Oryzias latipes: one gene and its partner. The protein of the gene in region 2 binds, or shares a complex with, the protein of the main gene of each other region. Links are inferred from orthologs where the notes say so. Each region holds a gene or a part of one and is shown on either strand. Other genes may lie near its edges.

What was found.
Region 1: cnot11 (region 2) and CCR4-NOT transcription complex subunit 6 share a complex: the UniProt entries of both Homo sapiens proteins name them as parts of the CCR4-NOT complex. The link is inferred for Oryzias latipes from reciprocal best matches to the Homo sapiens genes CNOT11 and CNOT6.

Annotation. Positions count from the first base shown.
Region 1 is NC_019868.2:16,548,780-16,552,593, reverse strand, and holds part of CCR4-NOT transcription complex subunit 6, read right to left. Parts: coding exon 3,727-3,814; intron 3,543-3,726; coding exon 3,474-3,542; intron 2,686-3,473; coding exon 2,528-2,685; intron 2,102-2,527; coding exon 1,947-2,101; intron 889-1,946; coding exon 734-888; intron 1-733. UniProt on the Homo sapiens protein: Poly(A) nuclease with 3'-5' RNase activity.
Region 2 is NC_019879.2:14,490,422-14,494,966, reverse strand, and holds cnot11 (CCR4-NOT transcription complex subunit 11), read right to left. Parts: upstream 2,856-4,545; coding exon 2,537-2,855; intron 2,458-2,536; coding exon 2,293-2,457; intron 2,222-2,292; coding exon 2,069-2,221; intron 1,747-2,068; coding exon 1,544-1,746; intron 1,160-1,543; coding exon 957-1,159; intron 842-956; coding exon 745-841; intron 660-744; coding exon 462-659; 3' UTR 155-461; downstream 1-154. UniProt on the Homo sapiens protein: Component of the CCR4-NOT complex which is one of the major cellular mRNA deadenylases and is linked to various cellular processes including bulk mRNA degradation, miRNA-mediated repression, translational repression during translational initiation and general transcription regulation.

The DNA of each region.
Region 1 (3,814 bases), on a different chromosome or scaffold from region 2:
GCCTTTATTTTGTCGGGACACAACTGGAAACACAAATCCACGTGAAACCCCGCGACATTTATTTCTGCTCTGATTTCTGCTCTGAAAAGTTCACACAGACCGCCCCAAAGCCACTCTGAGCTAGCGGCCGGAGCTCAGTCTGTTCGAACACGGTTCCTCCTGAGTCCTGCAGCCGCTAACCAGAGCGGCGGCGCGGCTCGCAGTCTGGATTCTCCCACACATAACAAAACGCACACGTAACAAAGCATCCTCCCCCCTCGGACACAAAATTATTAATCCAGCTCCTCTGTTCACTCGGGTGCCAGTGGACCGAGTGAGCGTCGGGGGGTACGAAGCGCCCCTTCCCCGCATTCCCTTCGTAAGGGGTGTAAGAGAGGGGAGAGCCAGCGGGGCGAGAGCGGAGCGGCGCTTTTCACGGGGCGTCCGCAGAGCTGGACGGTCCTGTATGAGCTTTCTCACAGCCAAACACCGTCTATGCGTGACGTAAACCAGAGCAGTAGTGACACACGATCGGAATGACCGTTTACATGCTCCACGATCGGATAAACGATCGGTATAACCCACCTATCTCAATCGGAAAGAAATTCTGATCCGAATGAGTCTGATCGGGGCAGAGTATTCCGAACGGGGCGTTTACATGACACATTTTCTTTCCGATCAGACGTTCATTCCGATTACTTTTGCCCATGTAAACGCGGCTAATCAGAAGAAGAAAAAAGTATCAGTGGCTCACATGAGAGCTCCATCATCTCTTTGCGGACTTCGAGCAGTACAGCGACTCCAATGTTGTCCTTTGTCATCACCCTGTTGAGCATGGCCTCTGAGCCCTCGGAGTTAGCCATGGCCAGCTGGTTGAACTCTACCGTGTGTTTTTGCACGGCGCTGAATCTGGAGAGGAAGCCAGAACAAAGGCAATGAAAGTTAAAACCCATTTTGTGGGTAGAAATCAGAGTCGAAAGAACATTCTTAAAGAAAGACTTCAAATTGAGGACAAAAAAACACAGATTTCAGCTGCAAAGTGACAACAGGTGATGATGACTAAATCTTTGCAAGCAGTTAAAAACACTATTAATTCCACATGACCCCTTTCAAGTTATGTACCCAAGTTAGGACAGTCAAAACAGTAAAAAACTATTAAATAACCACGCCGATAAACAAGTAAATTTATGTTTTAAAAAATTGGTCTAAAACTGTGGCAAATGACTAACGCTGCATTTCCTCATCAAAGTAAGTGTGGAGGAACTTCAGATGGAAGTGAGCTCTAAGACCTACAGTCTGGTGCAAAGCCTCTTTTCTTTGAGTAATGCTCTGTTCCCTGTCAAATAAACTAAAAAATGAGAAGAAAGACATTAATATTTCTACTTAAACTCCAAACACTGTATAAACAACACCCGAGGCTATAGAACGCATTCACTGGAACACAAACTATTTCCTCTAGCCAAAGAGTCAAACACATTTGACTCCATTAGGCATTTCTTTTAAAAGGAAAAAAAAAAACAGATTCAAAATGTGCAGATTTAAAGATTTTTTCAAATAAAGTAACAGAAGTAAAGTAAGCTACATTTGTCCTGTTTTTAAGACTGAAGTGCATCTAAAAACATCCAATAATTATAAACAGACAGAGTTAGCATTCCAATAAGAAAACATCTCTGAAGTTTGAGCTTATTAAGGGAAAACAGGCGGATACAAAGTAAAGGCATTCTGGCGCGGAGCGGTGGGGGGGGGGGGGGGGGTGTCACTCTTTACAGAAGGCCCACTGGTGCCACAGATTTACTGTTCTGAGACAACATGAATGTTACAAGCAGGAATTATGAAGCACAAGAGGGACAAAAGGGAGGAAACGCTGGGGGGGGGGGACACATGAAAGCAGCGCTATTTCTTCACATTGCAAAGAGAAGTGTGCTTTCAGTTTATGTTATAAATCCTACATTTATGATGCAACTTACTTCTCTGTTTTGTAAAAAATAGCACAGCCGTCCACATGTTTACGGTCCGACTCCGACATCGTTCGCGCTCGGGATTTTGGACTGAAGAACCCGTCATATCCTTGATCTTTCAGCTCAGGCAAGAAGAAGTTGTAGTATTGCTCCGTCTCAACTTCCTAAAAAATCAACACAAAAATAAAAATCTCCTTCAAGATGAATATTTAATAAAAGAAATAAACAGACTGTGGCTAATATGGAAAATGCTAACCAGGTTTGAACTTTTTCTAAAGTTCAATCCAGAATAATTTGACATCAATCTGGACTTCTTTATATTTGAAAACCCGATCGATTTGACTAAATTAGTCAGATAACAAAAAGAAATGTGTAGAAATAAAATATCTTAAACATAAATGCATGTTTCTGAAAAAAGGCTTTAAACGTTGGTCACTTAAACCTTTTCTGATCAACTTTAGACACTTTTATTAAAGATGCATTGTTATTTTTAAATTGAGCAGAGACTTATGGTTGATTATTTTAGCAGAAAAACTGCTGTTCTTTTTGGATCAAAGCAAAACCTCAGCAGATACTTTGTTGGTTCTCACCTGCAAGCTGATGATGTCTGAGTTGCAGCCCATAATTTCCTGTATGATGGATTTCTTCCTGTACTCCCAGTTTAGAGCCCAGGAGGGGCAGTAGCCGTACAGCTGTCGGGTGGCGTACTTATCGCACAGCACATTGTAGCACATCACAGAGAACAAAGCTGGGGCCGGAAAAGAAGACAAAAATTCAAGTAAGTGCCGGATAAAAACTCCAAAATGCTCATCATCTAAAATACAATTCATACATTAAGAGGCTTTAAAAATCGCCTTTGGCATTTATGCCAAAAAACAACTTTTTACTGTGTCCAGCAGAAGGTAGAACCACAATAACATGGTTCTTCATTCGTCTCTACAGCTGCTAAAAAGGAGGAGAGCATCAAAACAGAAACTAACAAGATCAAAGTAGAACTGCAAACACTGAAATTCCCCAAAATTTGTCAAGGCTCTAAGACTTTAACACTTGTGTGAGTTGTGATCACCAAATTTCAACACGAATTTGGTGAAATATGAAGTGACACTCTCAGGACTGGAATAGCACAACTGTGTGTTTTAAACATGACTCAGCTGATTCTGACTTAGAGAAAAGCAACTTTTCATATCAGCTTTGCACCGATATGCAACACAGTATTAAAGTAAAGTGGCTTTAATTTACACTGATTGTGTAATCACTTCAGTGCTGTGCAGTGTTGCCTATCAGTGCATGGCTTCTGTTCTCTGCTTCCAAATCTGTTAAAGAGTTACAGTAATGGAAAGAATGTAAACACTGGAGCTATAGCTCCAATCTTAAAAATGAGACCACAACACCTTCACTTTTCTTTTTACTGCTCCTTCTCACTAATAAAATACACACATTGGATAGACTGCAGGCTGAAATACAGATGTTACTGGATAAACAGCTGCCTGACAGTGAGGAATAATCTAAAAAGTGAAGTTTGTGTGTCATCTGCACCTGAGGAGCGCGTTCGTTCAGGTTCCTGGAGTGAGATCCATGACCGGGCTGGAGGCTGCTCTGTTGGTACTGCAAAAATTAAAATTAAAAATAAATATATATAGTTTTTTTGTTTTTCTTTTTTCAATGAGGCACAATTTCCGCACAAACACCACTAGCACAGTAACAAATGTCCCAACCAGACAGCATGCAGTCATTATTTTGCTATGCTGGATAAGGACAGATTGCAGTAAAGTGGATGATTGCTACTTACTGCGTTTAATAGCACCTGCCAGATTGTCTAACAAGTAGCTGAGCAGTCTTCGTGTGCCATCGGGTTCCTGGTAGAGGCTCATTATTTC
Region 2 (4,545 bases):
TTTTTTATTTCGACATCTGAAACCCTTTTTAAATGATTTAAGCATTTGCAGCAAAACTTTACCCTCAACATTTTTAAAAGCTAGAAAACTGGGAGCAGAAGAAAACGGTCAGAACTTGTGTCACGCTTTGCAAACATACAACTCTGCACACAAGAACCAAACACTCAACAATTTTATGGAGACAAAATAAGGAGTAAAACACTTTTGAGTTCAAATGTTTCACTGAGCTCCAGTAAATCTGCCGAAGTGATAGCAGCTTATGGAATTTCTGCAGCTTTGACTTAATGCAACATTTGATCACTCAGGAAATGACATCGAAAATAATACAAACTCGAGGGTTTAATAAAGAAAAAATTGATGAGTCAGTGACAAAGATCCTCCGCAGAGCTGCATATTTACAGCACGTCCTCTCATGACTGAGCTGTACGGCTCCCTGCTCCCTCTGATGTCAGGACTCCTGCTCATTTGATGGGCTTGGCCTCGGCCGGGTTCTCCCCAGTGTCCAGGGTCTTCAGAAGGCGGAAGAGGCCGGCCGCTTCACGGATGCGGCTGAACTCTATGCAGAAGGCCTGCACCTCGATGAACAGGTCCTGGACGTTGATGATCTTGTTTCGGATCAGCGACTGCAGGAAGACGCACACCAGCCGGACCAGGCGGTTCTGCAAGAATCAAGCGGGTTTTTATTCCAGAGGAAAACTCTTGAGCTCTCTTCAGCAGTTCACAGTTCCAAGAACGCGTGTTGACCTGCATGTATTTGTCTTTGATCTGCTCACACGTGGAGATGCAGTTGGAGATGTAGAGGTGGATGAATTCTGGAGGCAGATCCACAGCTGTGGTTAACCTGACGGAGGAGAGCAAACAACTCCATCACTTCCAAACTACAGAAACAGCACCAAACTGGAACCCAACTGGAGATTCGTTAACAGGTCTGAATACAGCCAAAGCCCCGCCCCCACCTGTTTACCACCTCCATGGAGTGCAGCGACATGTCCATGTTGACGAGCACTGAGAAATACTCTGTGATCTGGCTGCTCTGCATCAGTTTTAGCAGCATCTCGATGGCCACCAGTGGGTTGTTCTCCACCAGCTCAGGCAGCTTCACAGGCGTCAGGCCGATGTGATACACCAGCTTTGGGTCTTTCTCCAACTCAGCCAGCAGCTGCACACACGGCGAGGTCAATACAGAGGAGTGACAGCGGTGCACAGCAGTAGGAGTCAACGCCTCCACAAGAAATAATTTGTCTTTTAGGGAACGGACGATAAAGTTTTTGAGTGAAGGGAAAAATAAAGGTTGATTTTTTTTAAGACCACCAGAAAACTAATCCAGGAAGACAAAGGTTAAAAAAGAAACAAATACTTTTCCCACAAATTGTGTTTTTGTTTTGATAAATCTTGATTTAAAAATGAAAAAAGAGCAGATCTGAAGTTAAGTTTTTGTTTCTTTGCAAAGAACAGGAGTTCCTATTTTAAATAAAGTTTTTATTTTAACCCTGACTTTGCCTTTGTGTAAACCAAACATGTTGTTGATCAGCATCAGACCTACCTGGGACTGCTGCTGAGCCGACAGCGGACTCTTGAAGGCCTTGGCCATGATGCGTTTGATCTCCACGCCGGTGCTGTTCTTCACACACATTGACCGATCCCACTGGATGCAGTGGTCCGGCTCGGTGGGGTTCAGCCACGCCAGCTCATCTTCGCATGTGTGGAGCGGAGGCGTCGGCCGGATGAACTCGGGTCGAAAATGACCTGGGAGGGTTTTGAGAAACTGGTACTTACCATGCCTCATAGCAACACCTTCAGACAGACGGCCTTTGAACAAAGTCTAAATACTTTAATATAAAACTACTGAAAAATGACATAACTTCAGCAAAAACCTTCTAGACAGTCACTCAAACACTTTTTTTTTTAAAGTATCAGTTAAAGATCAATCGCACTCAACAGATCAGGTCGGCGCCGATCAACCTGTAACCGTGAGTTTTTGCTGAGGAGACGGCTACCATCTTTTCTGAGGAGATTCCTTCTTTCTTCCACAGATGTGATCACAGCTTGTGTGAAAAAAAGCACTTACTCTCCAGAGGAGGACGCAGCCCTGTGACCAGAGACTCAATGATCTGATTGGCCACAGAGCTGTCGAAGCCTGAGTTGGAGGAGTCTGGATCGGGGTCGTTGAGGATGCTGGGGAAGCTGGCTTTGCTCTGGGTGGGCAGCTCTGACTGGCGCTCTGCAAAAAGAGGGCTGGGATTGACGGCGTCTTCACCTGTGATGAGATGTTTCCTTACAACCTTCACTGACCTGCTAAAGGAAGCTGCAGCCCGCTGATGTCTATAGATGGGGGCATGTTGCTCACGTCCATGCAGGACACCTGTCTGGGGGTCTTTTTGAAGAGGTCTCTGGGCGGAGCCAGCATCAGCTGGGACAGGAAGAACTTCTCCGGCTGCGTGATGGGAGGAAGGAAGCCTGGACCCAACGAAACAGAGACTGAGCGGCTGCGGTTCTGATGAGACGTCGGGCTAAAGGTGAAAGGAAGCGGCCCTACCGGACAGGGCTTTCTCCTGCTCATCCCCGGAAGGTGCTGGGTTTAGCAGGTGCGCGAACACGGCGGCGAACGGGTTCGCGGCCAACGGCTCGGTTCGGTACATCTCCCAGAGCAGATAGAGGGCTGTGAGCCGCTGCGGAGAGCTGGGCAGCAGGTCCGGCTGCTGCAGCAGCATGACCAGAACCGAACCCACCTTGAAGTGGTCCGCCTTCCCAAAGTAATGATGGAAATGAGTGGAGAGGGTCTCGAAGCTGTTGTTGCAGGCCTCATCCGAGATTATGCTCAGCAGGTTGGACAGTTCCTTTGGAGCCAGAGTCATCGTTTCCCCGCCACAGTTCGATCGGATGCAGAGATTGACCGGGGTCCCTGATAAGTCTTTCTGTATAACTATAGCGGCGCTCTTACCCGCTTATTCATCTTTGAAGACGCAGAGTGGAGGACGGTGGCCCAGAAGTCATCTCGATTGAGATCCTATAACGCGGTTAGCATCAAGTTAGCCTAGCTTAAAAATAAGCTACAAAACCGGGAAACTCGTCAAAACATCAATCATCTTTTTAAAAATAATTATCCAAATAGATTAAATGAACGTATAACTTATCAATCGAACCAAAGAGTTACAAAAGATAATATTTCCAGGACTGAGAAAGAAATAAGACCCTGAATGGGATAGTGCTGCGAGCCATTAGCTTGAAGTATTTTTTAGTCGTATTTTCCGGTGAACTGCATCTTGGGTGATGTAGTTTTCTTCAGTTTCTCTCCAGTCCAGCAGGTGGAAATGGTATATGAATTATTCCTACCAAATAATCGTTCACATTTGTTTTATTTAAATAGATAGATAGAGAGGGAGAGGGAGAGAGAGAGAGTTAAGAGAAGGTAGAGATAGCAGTACTCTGCCTTTTAGGCTCAGGTAAGAGACCTAAATTAAAACCCATAAGTTAAAACGTTTTACTAGGGACTGAAATTTGAAGAACTTCTCTTATGTTCGTTTTAGGTGATGGTAATCCCTAGGTATGTTACACAGTGTTGGAGTACAATGTCTGTCACCATAGACGATCTCTGTCTGATTATGTTATTACGTAAGCATGCGCCAATTTTTTTTACGTGCAGTTGAAAATAAAAAGGAAGGCGCAGCCTCTCATCATAGTCAAGACGAAGTGAGTGGGGAGCTGCACTTCAGGTTCAGAATGAAATGTCTCCTGTGTCCATTATTTAAGAGTTAAGAAGCAAACACGGTTGTGTGTAACAGGGATGTCTTTAACGGCTTTGGCGTCGGGAGAGAGTTCCCGAGCGGCAAGAGAGACAACTGCTGCTGCTGGAGAGCCAACACACAGTTTCCATAATTTTTGGTGATAGTAATCCCTAGGTGTGTTACATGTATGTGATGGGAATTTTACATATGGATCGTGTTTTGTCAAATTTGATAGGTAGTTCTTCACATTTTTGATGTTAAGATGAAGTGCAGGGCCATTAGAAAAATCTTTTACTAGATTTAGGGCTCGGGGAATTTGACTGCCATCTTTAAAAAAAAAATGTTAATATTAATATCATCTGTATCTAGACGATCAAAAACAAGCCAGTATATGGCTAATATGTGACTGCCGGGAGATACTTTTGTTGCTCCATGTAAAACTTGATCTTGTTTGGATTCTTCTCTCCAAGGATCTTTTAAATGAAAACTTTGTATAAATTAAAGTAGTTCAGCATTAGGATTATTAGTTTGTAGTGGCCATCTATCCAGTCGACAATCTAACACCATATTCAGGTCTCCTCCAATTATAATTATTGCATGGGGAAGTTTGTTTAAACATTCAGGTGAACAATTTTCTATTATGGATAGGAGTTGAGAATTTTCACATTTAGTATTGTAACCATATACATTTATAGCTATAAAAGTCTTATTTTCGTATGCCAAGGTCATTTATGTGTAAGACTGTCACCTTCAAATTTGTGTTTTACCGTAAGAGTGCCATCTGAGTGCTGACTTCCATGAGAAAAGAATATGTTATTAC